Linked DNA regions of Alligator mississippiensis. The protein of the gene in region 2 binds, or shares a complex with, the protein of the main gene of each other region. Links are inferred from orthologs where the notes say so. Each region holds a gene or a part of one and is shown on either strand. Other genes may lie near its edges.

Region 1 (7,166 bases), on a different chromosome or scaffold from region 2:
GAGGCTTTCCAGCCGCCCGCAGCCAGGCTGGGCTGCCGACGGCATCCTCCGTACGCCTCCCTCCGGCCTCTCGTGCCCGTGGGCTTCCCAGAGGGCTCGGCCGCTCTCTGGTCTCAGCAAAGACCAGGCAGTGCCTAGTGCCAAGTGGCTGGGGCGATGCTGGCAGTGGGGTGGAGCGGTAGCCCGCCCTGCCACGCGGGGAGCGGCACAGGACAGCGGGAGAGGTGGACCCGGGGTCCCAGCCGTCGGGGTATCTCTGACGCAGCAGAGTCTCGCGCAGCAGATTTCAGCACCTTGCTCCTTCCACGCCCTGCCCGAAGCATCGTCCTCGGCCTGCCGGTCCGGTCGGTCCCGCTTGCAGCTCAGCAGCTTCCCCCCCTTGTTCTGTTGTTTCCCACGCCCCTGCATCAGGCGGGTGCCCAGCAGGGCCGTCTCCTGCGCGCACAGAGGAGCAAAGACTTGGACGAGCCGGCGTGGGGATGCTGTCTCCTTTGGTTCCAGATTTCTCTGGGACTTTTGCTGGCTGGAAGAGTCTTCAGCAAGTTACTATCCTCTCAAGGATGCTTTGGTCAGGCCACAGCTCCAGTTCCCAGCTCTGCTTGTCATCGGGGAAGTCATTTCCTCTCCCGGAGCCAAGCTTCCCCACTGTGAGATGGGGATAAAGCCACGCCTGTCTCCAGTGGGGACCTGCGAGGAGAACCAGAAATAGCCTCCCTGAGTCACCGGCGGCCGTCTGAAGCTGTGATTATTTCCCACCGAGCAGGGGCTGAGTTTACAGAAGGCTCAAACCGCCTCGCCAGGATGCTAGACCACGGAGGAACGGGGCTGGAGGATGAAGCGCCCTGCTCTCCCGATGGGCGATCTACAGCTTTCGGGCGCTGCCTCTTCTCTAAGTGCTGGGCTCTGGCGTGCGCCCCAGAGGCATCTCCCTCTCCCAAGCTTTTTGATACTGCTTTGTAAAGGTATTTCAGGGTCTGACTCGCATGAAACCCATAGGAACTGAGTGCCTCTGAGCCTGGCCCGTGCAGGCGACACAGGTATTGCATCATTTGACCCTCTGTGGACAGCTGGGCAGCACCGGGCGGTGGCAGATACCCATCCAGGTTAGACTAAATCTCACATCAGGCATCGTGCCTCATACTCCAGCTGGGGTTTCTTGGCCATCGCAATCCCGGCAGCTCTCCTGTCCTCTAGGCGACCCGCGGACCCGGCCACTTCAGTGCCTGGCTGGAGAGGCGAGCTGCCAGGAGAGCACTACCACGGGTCCGTGCCTTTTCCTTCCTGCCTCCCAAGGGTGAAAAGCAGCTCCCAGGCGTCTGGGCTTTGCTGGTTGCCGCATGGGGCTGGAAGGGAAACCAACCCCTCCGTCACGCCCCCCTTACAGTGAGGCCCAGGGAAGCTGTGGACTCTCCACCCCTGGAGGGGCTCCAGGGGAGGCTGGGCAGCCACTGGCTGGGGTGATCTAGGCGTAGCGATGCCCATGCTCCACTATGGGGATGTCCCGGGCTTCTGGGCTTCGCTGGTTGCCCCCCTCCACGATGTGCCGGGGGGGTTTAGGCCTTCCTCAGAGCCGCTGGGTGTTGGCTGCAGCCCAGGCTGGGGATGGCAACTAGCCTGTGCCAATGTATCTGCAGGGACCTACGCCTGAGGGTCCTGGCTAGAGGGTCTCACCTTGCTGCTCAGGGTCAGACTGATGCTGCATTTGGGAATTTTCTCCCATAGTCAGACTGGTACGGACTGGGGGGGCTTTGCTTTCTTCCGCAGTGGGGACGTGGCCTCAGCCTGGGATCTCTCTGGTGTATTTGAACAGCCTCCTCCAGCAGCAGGACATCGGGTGTCGTGGTCCCCCTGCCTCACCTGGAGCAGGTTCGGATGCGATGTCTGATGCTGTGTCAAGGTTGACGGTAGTTTTCCAAAGAGGTTTGGTGGTGGATTTGTCTGGGCTGGTTCAGACGGGGCTGATCCTGCCTCGGGCAGGGCCTTAGACTAGACGTGACCTCTGCCTACCCCACCACGCCAGGATTTCTATGGAGGGTTTAAAGGGAAAAGACGTTTTTGGTCGGTTCCCCCTTCTGCCCTGCATTAGGAGTGCCGGGCTTGCCCAGCCGGATTCTCTGTGAGGCCGACTTTCCTACGATCCTGTGTGACACGACACACATACCATTGTAACCTGCTTTGCTGGGCCTGGCGCCGGACCCCATGTCCTCAGCGCACACGGGTGGATCTAGGGTTTTGAAAAGGGGGGTGCAGATAGTGTCAGCCCAGATGACAGGACAAGGAGCAATGGGCTCAGGCTACAGCAAGGCAATTTGAGGTTGGATATTAGGAAAAACTCTCTCACTGTGAGGGTGGTGAAGCACAAGAACAGGGTCCCCAGGGAGGTGGAGGAGTCTCCATCCTTGGAGGTGTTTAAGACCCGGCTGGACAAAGCCTTGGCTGGGATGATGTAGTTGGGGCTGGTCCTGCTCGGAGCAGGGGCTGGACTAGAGCTGACCTCCGGAGATCCCTTCCTGCCCTCGCTGTCTGTGATCACAGCTAACACAACACACGCCTTTCTCCACTTAGAGAGAAACTAGAAGCTTTACTAATGCACTGGGGGCCCAGCGCTGTATTATTCAGTGTGTGAGCAAAGCAAAACACAAACAGCACTTTACTGAAGTGCAGACTCATTTGCTAGCTTCTATATTAAGCTTAAAAAACACAACAAACTAATAAAAAAAAAAAAAAAAGGGGGCCAGAGCTATTGTCTCATTCGTCCTGCAGTCATAAATAATAATGAAATGCACGTCTCTCAGCCAGATTTGTAAAGCAAAATCTTGCCGCCTGGAGCATCTTGTGCGTGCCTCTGGTGCTTCGCTGTCAGTCCTTTCCATACCTGAGCTAATGTTCCCCTGAGGGCGTGTGACCACACCTGAGTTCAGGGGATGATCCAGGGCAGCAGCGCTCAGCCGTTGGCTCGTGGGCCAAAGGCGGCTTGTGGAGCCGTCACGTCCAGCCCGCCGGGCTCTCCACCGGTCAGGAAATTTGGTGGTGGGGGAGTGATGGCAATTAATACGGCCGCCCTCCCCGCTGCCAAACTCCCAAACCCTGCACATCTGTGCTCCCTTCCCCCCATGGGACCGAGCCATGGCTGGATTGGGATGGTCCATGCCTCCCCACAGCTGGATCGGGATGCCACCTCCCACTCCGCAGCTGGATCAGGGCTGGGCCACGCCTCCTCACAGCTGGATCGGGGCTGGGCCCACCCCGCTTTTTCTGCACAGCCAGATTTGGGCCAGCCTGCCCCCGCCCCACTCCACGTGGCTGGACGCAGCCTGCCACGTCGGACTGGGACCGCTGGCCGCGTCTGGCTCGCAGGCGGAGCAGGCACCCCCCAGCCAAAAGGGTCGTGCAGTGCTGGACCGGTGAAAGATCCAGACGGTTATGGAGCTGAGAGGGTCCTTCACACCCAGGGAGCGAAGAGATCAGCAGGAATCAGGGGGATGATCAGGAGCGGTGAAGTCGGCCGATTCCCTGAGCCGCTGCCGGGATAGAAACGCCCCTGCTGCTCCCAGGCAGGCGGTTATAAAGCTCGGGCAGGGCAGGAATCATGGGGTGGGAAGGGGCAGCTGCCCCAGCGCCCGCCAGCCACACACCACGCCGAGCAGCGCGGCAGGGGCTTTGTGGCAGGACAGAAGAGAGGATGCAAAAGGCGCCTGCTCAAGGGGCCAGCCCTGGCCCAGTGGGCCGGGACCAGGGTGTCTCGCCCCACCCCCGGCCTAGTGCCACCCTGGGGACACCAGTCACAAGAGGGGGCAGGGTCATGACCTCTGGAAATCCCACCCACCCACTTCACTAAGGGGGGGAGGGCGCATGCGCGGAGAGGCGGCCCAGGTGACAGGGGCTCGCACGTGGGAAAGAAGACATCTCTGCGCACGCGCGGCTCACCGCTTTTCCACGCGCCTTCCCCCTCGCGCATGCGCACACACAACCTCCCTCCTCCCTCCTCGCACCGCCCCCTTCCCCCTCCGCGCCTCTCCCGCGCATGCGCCCGGCCCCTTCCCGCCCCTCCCTCCCGCGCATGCGCGCCGCGGCCCCTCCCCCCGCGCCCCCCCGCCGCCCTCGGTGGCTGCTGAGGGGAGGAGGAAGGAGCCGCCGCCGCCGCCGCCGCCATTACGGGCCGAGCCCGCCCCGCGCGGCCCACGGGGACATGGCGCCGCCGCCGCGGTACGTATGGCCCCCCCCGGCCCCGGCCCCCCGGCGCGGGCGCCGAACAATGGGCCGCCCCTCCCCGCCCCGCCCCGCCACGCCCCTCCCCCCGCCGGGCGCAGGGGGCGGGGCCGCGGGGCCTGCGCCCCTTGACGGGGGGGGGCAGGGACCCCCCTCGGGGGCGGGGGGCGGGGCTGTCCCCCCCACCCCACCCCACCCACGGGGGCGGGGCTGCCCCTCCCCCACCCCCACCGAGGGGGGCCCCTCCCCCACCTGGGGGTTGCCCCCCTTTCTCTTCACCCCACCCTCATTGGGGGGCTGCCCCCCCTTCAGTATCCCACCCCCATTTTGAGGGGGGAGGGGCTGCCCTTCCCCCCCCTTGCCATCTTCATCCCACCCCCAACCTGGGGGGTTGGACTGCCCTGCCCCCCTCCCCCCCGCTGGCCTGTTTGCGGCTGGGGGGGGCTGCCCCATGAGCCCCCTCCGCCCTCTGTGGTATTGGGGGGCTGCGAGTGCGGGAGGGCCCTGGGGTCCCCCCCATTCACCCCCCCCCGCTGGCTGTGAGGAGAGCTCGAGGCGCCCCCGCCCCCGCCTTGGGGGCCGTTGCCTCCTGCCCCCAGCTCTGCCTGCGCGCCCGAGCGCCGCTTGGGGTGGGGTGCTGGGGCTCGCGCCCCGCGCCCTCGTCACCCCCAGCCGTGTCGGGGGCTGCCCCCGCCCCGCCCCGCCCCACGGGCAGGACCGCCTGGTGCTGGTGCCGGGTCCGGGGGCGCCCGGGCGGTGCCGTTACCCCGCAGGGACGGGGCGCTGCAGCTCGAAACGATTCGCTGCCTGCGACGGTGCCTCGACCCGCCCCTCCCTCCCTCCCTCCCTCCCTCCCCACGTGTCTGGCTGGGGTCTCCGTGTACCCGCTCCGGCCGGCCGTGCATCCGACGGGAGGCTCCGGCAGCGCAGGGTTCGGTCGTTTGCTCGGGTCCGCCCGCGCCGCGATCCCCTTTTGTGTTTGTCGCTGCTTACGTAGCTCCGAAATAACCCCCCGTGTGCCTGCACGGCCCCCCGCGCCGTGGCCTGCTTCGGGCGTCTCGCCCCGCCAAGGCGTGTTCCCGGGAGATTGAAATCGAAATGACTCCGGCCTTCAGGACGGGCACGAGTTTCCTGTTGTGAACGGGTGCCGAGGCGCGTTTGCCGGGGCTGGGCGACGGCCGGCCTGGTCGGCGCGGCCGGTTCATTCAGGAATCCGGTGCGATCCTGCCGGCGGGAGACGGACGGCCTTGTCGCTCTGTTTGCTCGTAATGCAGAATTGTGCAATGTTTCTTGTCCCGAGATAGCAACTGGAGTGCGTGTGTGTGCGTGTGCGAGGTCTGGAAACAATACCGAGCGCCGGTTTCCAGCAAACGTTTCCTTGCTGCCGTGAGCGGGAGGGTCGGGCCTGTTGTATCATCACCCGCGCTCTTAGTGCAAGGGGGGACGGCTCGTGTCTGTTCTTGCTGGGTTTCCACAAGGAAACGAGCAGGCAGGTTTGCCCAGGGCTGGTTTTCTTCCTGCTCCCCCCGCTCCCCTGAGCCGAGAGCTGGTTTCTGTAAGGGCTGCCGGGCGTGCGGCTTTCCATGCTGTGAGCCCGCGCTGGAGGAGGGAATTCAAAGCCAACGACATTTACATCTGCTTTTGTTCCCGTATCGACGGCTTCAAGAATCTGTGGCAGTAACATTTGTGTGATCAGTGTGTGCGCCTGGCGGAGAGGCTCTTTGTTTTCCAAGGTGGTGTGTTTTCGGTGCGGAGCCTGCCTTGCTCATCCGGTGGAGAGGTGATGCTCTTTCCTAACACGGGTTTGTTCCTAGAAGGAGCTGGGCAGGCTCCCTTTAAAAGGCAGCACCGTTTTCTTGGTAGTTTCTCTGCTTTCCCCCTTGCCAAGCCCTCCAGACCCACACTCTGCTGTAAAGTCGATTGTGTTTCTCCAATCTCGCTTGGCTCTCCCTTCACAGCCCCCAAAAAGCTCTGCGGCCCAAGGGGATCTGGGATAATGGAGAGGGTGGGAGCCGACCTACAAAAGCGGCCGTCGAGTTCTTCTGTTTCTCCCTGCTGTTGTGGTTGTACAGTTTGTACTTGAATCGAACCAGTAAAATGCAACGCCAACATGCCCTGTTTCTTTTCTCGGCCATTCAGATGGAAATGGGTTCATAATTTCGGTGGAGTCCAGAGCTTGCTTTGCCACTGTCACTCACTCTCCCTGGTTTTTAACAATACTTAACTTTCCCTGCTGAGTCACTGGTGACCTGTACTCCGATAGCAAAGGTCTGAATGAACGGGCTTGAGCGACTGCGTTTTGGTGGCAGTTCGGTGTTTCCCAGAGCACGTAACCTGGCTCTTAATTGCCTGTATTTTCAACTTTCCCTCCAGAGACATGCCAGGGGCGAGGTCTTTTCTTCTGTGGCGTGACATTTTCAGGATTAACGGTGCTTCTCGAGCTGTGTGGTAAAATGTTACTGAAGTTTGGAGAACGCGCCTTTCTCGCCATGCCTCAGTGACTGCGTTTGTAGTGCTAGGTGCGTTCTGGCTTCGAGCAAAAATTCAGTGCGAGGAGGGAAGGGCACTGATTTCCTGGGGTCAGGATTTTTACTGCAGGAGTGGAAAAAGGTTTTGGCAGTGAGCGGACACAGTGGTGGTCTCCCACTTGCCTTGCTGCCTAGCTGACCTGTATTACGAATACGTCGCTACTATAAAGTTACCTGATCAGTATGATTTCTGCCTGGACTTGCACAGGGGCCCAGATCTGTGCTGTGGATGCCCATCGCTGTGTGCTAATCCTCTGCATACTAGAAGGCCTGAATATTTCCCCAGTATGGTCAACGGCTTGTTTACATGTTATAAATTTTCTGAATAGTCTGTAGCATCTTTTCTTTCCCCTGAGCAGTGCCCAGAAATGTTTTATTTTCTTCAGATAAGCAGAAAACATCCATACTTGCTTGACAGTGTTCCTTCAA
Region 2 (7,930 bases):
AGTGGGTTTCTTTTCCATAAGCCCACAGAAGTGCACTAATTTACTCAGAACTCACCCTGCTTTACCTGCAAACAATGTTATACTTGTCATACAGTTTTCAGAATAACAATTTACCAATACCTATGTAATGCTAGAACTTTCTCACCCTCTCCATGTGAAGTACTTTGTAGAAGTCAATGCATCATATAGGTATACCAAAATAACAGAAAGGAGATATTCAAAGCCAGATAACAAATGAAAGCTGTTTCCACAGACAACCTCTGTTGCTACAATTTTTATTGCTCAAAAGGTAACAAAAGGGTATGAAATACATCTGAATTAGAAATAATGAAAGTGTCTGAAAATCAAAATTAGGCTCAAATGAGAAAAAGAATGTTCAGTTGCATAGCAAAACTGTTTAAACATGCTTATTGAACTTCAGCAAAAGCTTCAAAACGTACATCTGACAATTTTCCTTTTCTGTCTTGCAAAACTAAGCCCCCACTACTAAACAATCACTCTACAGGGGTAGATGAGGGAATGCTTGTGTTATAACAGATGAGTAGTTTTTTCATAGTAGGTGACATCTCAGATAAGTTTCTCACAGATGAGAAGTAATGCTCAACTTCTTGGGCCCTGGGCTGCTGGTTCTAATCTTCATTAAAACTAAAAAAAGTCATCATCTGCTTCACCCTCACTATTCGCTCCCACTCTTACTGGGATCAATGTCTCTGCTTGCTTGTGCTTGTTCCCTCCTGCAGCCAACTGGCTGCCCTGTTGACTTCTGCAAATGCACAGAAAAATGCCAGCATGAACTAAGGAACTCTGAGACTTACAGTTCTTAAGAGACCATATTTCATAGGAAGGCATCCTACTCTCTCTCTCTCTCTCTCAAACAAGAAGTCCTAGAGTTTCAATAAAGAACTATCATTCCATTTAAGTCCTAGGAGTAGCTGTCAGAAAAAACTCTGGGAAAGCCAGATTTCAATTTTTTTAACTTTTAACTTATACTTTAAAAAAAGTTAAAGTTAACCTTTTTTTTAACAAGTTAAAGTTAAAAGTTGACAGCTGAAAAATTTAACTAGTTACAGTTAAAAATTAGCCATTTCTTTAATTTTTTAACTAGTTAATTAACTAGTTAATTCCCATGGCTGGAACAGATCATTAAAAAGAAAGACCAGAACTGACAACAGCAATAAATGTGATATAACATATTTTATATGGAATAGACATGCATGTTCTATACAGAAAATATTTCCTTCTTTCTACAGATTATTCAAATATAACTAAAGCATGTTGAAATGAGAACAGCAGTAGTTTTCTGTCACGTGAAATTTCAATGTGGCCATGGGGAAGGGCCATTAGAACTACTGGCCACCAATGAAAGCTCCTATAGATTTTCAAACATTCCAGACTTGCCCAGGAGTCCACCTTGTAGACTTGCTTCAGCACAGGTCTACATGCATTCATCAATGAATTTAAGCGACCGCATGAGGAACAAACTTGGGAAAGGGTAAGGAAGGAACGAACCTTCTGCAGTTGTGTCCAGGATATTCAATAAAAAGGTATTTTTGCAGATGTATGGCAGATGTCCAGAAAATATGGTTCCATTTGGTAGACTTGGTTTGCTTTTGATGATGACGACAATGATTATGTTTTCTCCCCAGGTACGAAGCTCATTTCTGTAATTATGAAAGTGTGGGTAATGGACCCTAAATGGTAGATTTCTATTGTTGGAAAATCTAACCAGAGTAGAAACATGGGGATGAAAGCACCAGCAAGGCCAAGGGGTTTAAACAAATTCTGTCCACAATATGTCCCCTTGGTACAGTGCTCATTCAGAGCAGGTTCGAGGACTGATGGAGCAACATACTGACATTAGCTCACTGTTCTACATGGGCCATACTTCTTGGTGTGGCTAATTAGCGCAGGCACCATGCTAATTCAGCCAGACCACTTCTATAGCTTTTATTGTTTGGGTATCTCTGCCAGTCTGCTGCATGGGTAGGTCAGACCTGGGAGAGTGGCATGGTTTGCCACATTAGAGAAGCACTGATTTAGCAAGCCTCACAGGAAGCCTCTTGTGGAGACCACATCAAAATTTGCATTTGCCCTCCCCATGCAAAACCCATGAGCTGTGCAGCCCTCCCCTGGACTGAATTCTCAGCACAGCACCCTTATTATGTCCCTAAGTTATCAGAAGAGGAGAATCTCAAAGAAGAGAGTCCTACAAATATTTATAGTGCATTAAAGTATCTAGGAATGACACTCCTACAAACACAACAACAGTGGATTTAAATAATTACATTTGAAAATCTGAGAGGGAAAATGAACAGTAAATAGAAACCCACAGAGAGACAATTGCAAGAAGATTATTTGAAATTACATGTACAATAATGGAACGTGTAACTATGGAAATTAGACTTGTAAAGGACTGCTACCGAGGCTGAAATTTTTTAAACACAAAAACAGCAGGACACACACGTTATAATCCTATAAATTCAGGACTGGAGCCAAATTCTGCTTTCATTTACACTGGCACAAATCCAGAGTAAATCCTGAGATTTTAATGGTGCAACAAGGAGAAGAATTTTGCTTTTGGAAGGAAAGATAAGAGAGTTCAGTGCAGCAGATAAAACGATGTTGGCTGGAGAGCTGTGGAAGGAGTATCAATTTGTTTCAGTTGCCTCAGGAGAAATTCACTTAATACTTTTGGGTAATGCAAAGCTTTGAAAACCTGAATGTTTAGATGCCTTTTAAGAACACTTGAGACACATGCAAGTGTCAAGGTGCTACTATTTGTCAGCTATTTTAATATTGCAAGTCAAAAGGTATCTACACACTATTTTGCCTGGAAATAGGTTTGTCACATTGGTCCTGATCTTGGAAGTACTTACATCTGTACACAGCTTAACTCATGAATAGTTCTACTGCATTCAATGGAATTCCTGGAGAACATAAAATTAAGTTTGGGAGTTAGTGGCTGAGGCTCAGAGCAATAAGTGAACAAAAGGATACATTTTTTTCAGACCGGTACCAAGGGAAAAGCTATTATTAATTAGGATAGTTGTGCATGCACCTCTCAGAGCACTGTGAGGACTACGATCCTGTCAGTCAAAAACCCACCACAACCTTGCTGTCGCTTTATGCATATTATGTTTACAGCAGGTATAGACCCTTTTGTGATATTTGCAGAAGAAAAAAGGAGTTGAACTTAACAAGCATTCATTTCCCCCAGGGGAGCACAGCTCCTCAACCTCAGTACTAGTTTGCTATTTGGTAGGCATGTCTACATGAGATGCTACTGTGCAGTGGTTACTGCGCATTTATTTAGTACTCATATAATCAAGTACTAAATAAGAGCATTTATACACATCCTTTTTTTCCAGTGATATGCCAGAGATCTGCTGCTTTTCCCAATGCTGACGCACATTTTGCTGCTCATACAATTGTATGCGTCACAGCGCTAGGCGCTTGCCCAGCGTTGCGATGCATGCATGCTTAAAAGTGCCCTAAATGTGCAGCAATGGGAGTTACTGTGTAGTAGTACCAGTGAACATCTGTGATGCTACTGTGCAGTAGCCTAATAATACTGCACTGTAGCATATTAGCATTGTTGGCACTGTGATGTGCTACTGTGCAGTATGATTTGACTACTGCACAGCCAGCGTCTCATGTAGCTGTGCCCACTGCCTGCCTCTACACAAGCTCTTTAGTGCAGGGTAGAGTAATTAGCTGTGGAGTAAAGCATCACCGTCTACAGGTGTGAGGGTAGCAGGCTGCAGTAAACTAATTTATGCTGTTCTAAAATAGTACTATCCAGGAATGTACTATCTTACACCAGGGTAATTCACTCTGATTAAGCACATGTAACCAGGGGCAAGAACTGCACCCTGCCAGGCCAGCTTGCTGGGGGCCAGGCTGCTGCCTGTCACCCTGCCAGAGGCTCTGCACTTCCAGCACCCCTCAGGAACCCAGAGCTGATGCCCTTCAGCACCCTGCTAGCGTGGGCCTGCTCTGCCATGCCTCAATGTGCTGCTGTCCTGGGCACACATGCAGACACTATACCCAGGAGTAGTTTACTCCAGCTCAAACTGCTCCGGAGTTTATTGCTTTGCATTAATTGCAGGTCTAGAGCACCCAGAGGGAACAGAACTACAGCCTGAAATGCAGAGGAAACAGCTGAATCCTACTAATTTGGGGCCTCAAAAAAACAACCTGGGGGCAAGCTGGATCTAGGGCAACCCAAATCCCAATTCAAAGGCACTTAAGAAACACGAGAGTCTGCCAGACCCAGTCAGAGTTTAGCCTCAGAAACCTCCCCCGCCGCCCCGCCTCTTCTCAGCCCTGCCAGGTGTGGACGCGCCCCCCAGGCCATGCTGCTGCGACGAGGGCGCAGCCCGGCCGGACACAAAGGGGCTGAGCCCGGATCCAGCCGCGCCTGGCGCGGGAGGGGACGGGGCTCGCGGCTCAGCTGTGCCGGCCCCACTCCTGGGGACTCCCCTGGCGCACTGCCCCTCTGCGGACGGGGGGAGCAGAGAGGCTCCAGGCAGAGCTGCCCCCACCCCAGCGCTGCGGGCGGCAGCGGAAGCCAGCGGCAGAGCGGGAGCCAGCGGCAGCGGCGACCGCTCGGCCTCGCCTCACGAGCCGCAGCGCATGCGCAGTCCGCCAGGGCTGCCGCCCCCTCCCCTCCCCTCCCCTCCCCCGCTGCGGTCCCGGAGCTGTGCTCGCTGCGGGCGGGCGGGGCGGGGCGGGGCCGGGCCGCTCTCTCCCGGCCGCTGGGGCAGGAGGCGGAGGCAGAGGCAGCCGCGCCGGGGCCCTGCGGAGCGGCGCTGCCCCCAGCCGGCCCGGGAAGCTGCCCCCGCCAGTCCCGGCTGCGGCTCGGCTCGGCTCGGCGCGGGGCGGGGCGGGGCGGGGCGGGGGTCGGCCCCTTTGTCACCTCCTCCCCGCGCGGCCGAGGGGGAGGGGGCGAGGCTCACCATGATGGCGGCCGAGGCTGGGGGTGAGGAGGGCGGCTCGGCTCCCGCCGCCGGGACACCCGCCGCCGCCGCCGAGCCGGGCCACTGCGCTGCCCCGTGCCGGGCCCGCCCGCCGGGCTCTCCCGCCTCCTTCCCCGCGCCCCCGGGACTTGCCCCGCCGCCGGCCGCCGGCCACGAGATGCCCAGGGCGGCGCCCCCCGCCCCGGAGACGGCAGCCGCCGGGCCGGGCTCCGGCTTCCCGCCGCTGCCACCGCCGCCGCCGCTGGGCGCCGCGGACGAGGGCGACTCGCTGGACGGGCCCGAGTACGAGGAGGAGGAGGTGGCCATCCCGCTCACCGCGCCCCCCACCAACCAGTGAGTGCCGCCCGCCCGGGGGAAGTGCGTGGCAGCGCCCGCGCCGGGTTGCAAGTTTTGCCCCCCCTCCGCGCCCGGATCCCGGGGAAATCCGCGGTCCCGGCGCCAACAATGGGCCCGCGGGGTGCGGGAGCCGGCCGCGCCCGGCCACGAGGGACGCCCGTCCCAGCCGCGGGCGGGATGAGCTCTCGGGAAGTTCCTCCTCTTCCCAGGGTTTTTGGGCCGAGCAGCTCCCTGCCTCTATGCGCCTCGGCAGAGCTGGGTGCTCCCGGGACAAAGCTCCGATGTGGCCGAATGGCTCTTTCGTGACACCCCCCCCCCCCCCTTTTTTTTTTTTCTTAAACAAAAAAGAAAATCTGCGGGTGACTTTAGTTTTCCTGAAGCAGGTGGGTGGCCTGCTGTCCTGCTTGGGGTCCCCCCCCCTGCAGCCAGTCTTCCTGGGGGCTTTAAAGGCAGGTAATAATGTGTAGCTTTTCAGCACTTGGAGGCAATTTTTTTGTAAATGAAGGCTTCTGTAGCCTGGCTGATTTGGAAGAAGTTCATATGCAGTTAGGTCATTTTTGAAAAGAACTGGGCTTCAGTAAAAAAAAAAACAACCCCAACCTCCTCCCTGCCCTCTAACCTGCCCCCCCCCTCCCAAAAACCAACCCCAAACAAGTGGTGGTTTGTAGTAGGATTTCACTATGTTTGCCTTTTCATTAGCTTACCATGGATTCCTTCAGTGCTGATGACATAAAGGACATCCCGGACAGTTGTTACAGGTGTCACTTATGTTCGATTTCCCGCTGCCTGTGTGCTTACACTTGGACATACAGTCAGAACTCGAAACGGGCACACAGGCAAAAAGCTTCTGGGTGTACTAATAACTTATCTGTAGGGCAACAGCTACCTTGGGGCACACAATGCCCTACAGAAAGACAAGTCTTTCAGGGACTGAAATAGTAAAGTTGGTATTTGGGTATATAAATGGATGCCTAAGTTAGGGTGAAGCCTCATATATCAGATGCATTAGAGGGGCAAGATGTAAAATGGGAATGCAGATTTGCAATGGCAAGTATTATTTAGATGGGTTCTGGCTGGATTTCTTATCCTGTGTGTTAATGGGATCTGGGAAGTGGTTTGGTTTCAGTGTTGTGTGTTATGTTCTCACAGTAGTTCAGTGTAAAATTCTTCTTGCATGTTTATGGGCTTTCATATTTTTAAAAGCTTTTTCCCATCCCCATTACTCCCCACTTCCCTGTCAAATGAGTGCAAAAAGGCACCCCCTTACTGATGTTGTTTTGTCTAGAAATAACATAATGTTTTCATAGCCTTAAAAAAAAATTACCTATTCATAGTCTGTTTTTCTTGCTAGCTCTGTAAGACTGTGTGTACTTTTGGGAGGGTTCGTGTCTAATGTTAATACAAAGTGGGGAAGGTGCTCCATCTCTTCAGAGGCAGCTTAAACTTTCCATGTTGCGAGTTTCTTCTTCCCAAGCTCAGGATGATAGCAGAGCTGCTGTACAAAAAAGGAGGGCAAAGATATGTTTTCACACACAGCTCTTTAACCTTTCCAGTCATCCTTGATTATGTTTTCTGTTTTTTATGACTCGATTCCTAAGAATAACGTCCTTAATGAAATAGAGACTGTTCAAATGTTTATGAAAAGCTATCCTATTCCTCAGACAGATCAAAATGTGAAGGAACAGGAGGGACAAAAAATGAGGGGAAATAGAGGCACTGGCAGGTGAGGTGACTTATGCAAGAGGACATAGCAAGTTAGTGACAGAGGTCTTGATTTCCTTTCCACAAGACCAAACTTCCTCTCTTCTGCTGCAAGAACTAAATATTGCATACTTCTCACATGGATGCCCAACAGATCTGTAACAATGGTTGATTGGGTGATTGTTTAGGTCAGTGACTACTCATGTTTCTAAATACATTTTATTGTGACTTATAAATGTGAATACTTTTTAAAATTCCGGTTGGAACACCAAATGTATATGCTAGCAGCGCAATTTTTATGCAAAGCCTTACATACTTTTAAACTACTTCAAAACAGTGAAGTGTCTGGCTTTTTATAAATGGATCTTATTGGAGGACTACAATAGCCACAATCTTGCCGTCTTTAAGCGCATACTTCAGTTGCATTCTTTTGTTAGATTACTCACATGATTAAAGCAAAGCATGTGGCCCTGATCTTTGCAGGATCAGGGCCAACATGTTGGGGTAGAAATGTTTAAGGTACTCGAAACATTTCTTTAAAGTATAAAAAAGGGATAGCTATTGAAAATGGGATAAATTTCCAGAGAGGTATTTCAGGAGTGATACCTGCCTCTGAATCTAACTTCATAATCATATTCCTGTTGTGTTTATTTTTTCCTGCTGCTGTGAGTGACTTGCAAGCTTGATTGTACAGGGGAAACCAGTGACACTGACATTTCACTAAAGAAATGGGCCAGACAAAAACTTTTTTGATTTGTTTCTGATTTTTTTTCAGTGTTTAGCTGCTTAAGTTTAACAGTAACTTTTATCCTTTCCATTTTGTTCTTTTTTTGTTTTGCAAGTGTTCTTCCCTGCAGTTTAATCGCTCATTTTTTTGAGTATGCGTCTTTGTTCTGACTCATGTATGTCAGACT

The links.
Region 1: the proteins of RASA1 (region 2) and ARHGAP35 are in contact, whole or in part, in a crystal structure (PDB 8DGQ), measured with the Homo sapiens proteins. The link is inferred for Alligator mississippiensis from reciprocal best matches to the Homo sapiens genes RASA1 and ARHGAP35. Residues at the interface, in NP_002881.1 of Homo sapiens: Arg188, Arg207, Ser209, Arg211, Val217, Asn228, His229, Phe230, Arg231, Ile241, Gly242, Tyr256, Leu262, Leu263, Lys264, Lys358, Ser379, Asp380, Asn381, Ser387, Gln397, Arg398, Phe399, Lys400, Met411, Gly412, Gly413, Arg414, His425, Tyr426; in NP_004482.4 of Homo sapiens: Ser1085, Asp1086, Tyr1087, Ala1088, Glu1089, Pro1090, Met1091, Asp1092, Ala1093, Val1094, Val1095, Arg1098, Glu1100, Asn1103, Ile1104, Tyr1105, Ser1106, Val1107, Pro1108, His1109.

What each region holds. Positions count from the first base shown.
Region 1 is NC_081838.1:651,715-658,880, forward strand, and holds the start of ARHGAP35 (rho GTPase-activating protein 35), read left to right. Parts: upstream 1-4,078; 5' UTR 4,079-4,206; intron 4,207-7,166.
Region 2 is NC_081826.1:245,121,729-245,129,658, reverse strand, and holds the start of RASA1 (ras GTPase-activating protein 1), read left to right. Parts: upstream 1-4,872; 5' UTR 4,873-4,959; coding exon 4,960-5,312; intron 5,313-7,930. UniProt on the Homo sapiens protein: Inhibitory regulator of the Ras-cyclic AMP pathway. Stimulates the GTPase of normal but not oncogenic Ras p21; this stimulation may be further increased in the presence of NCK1.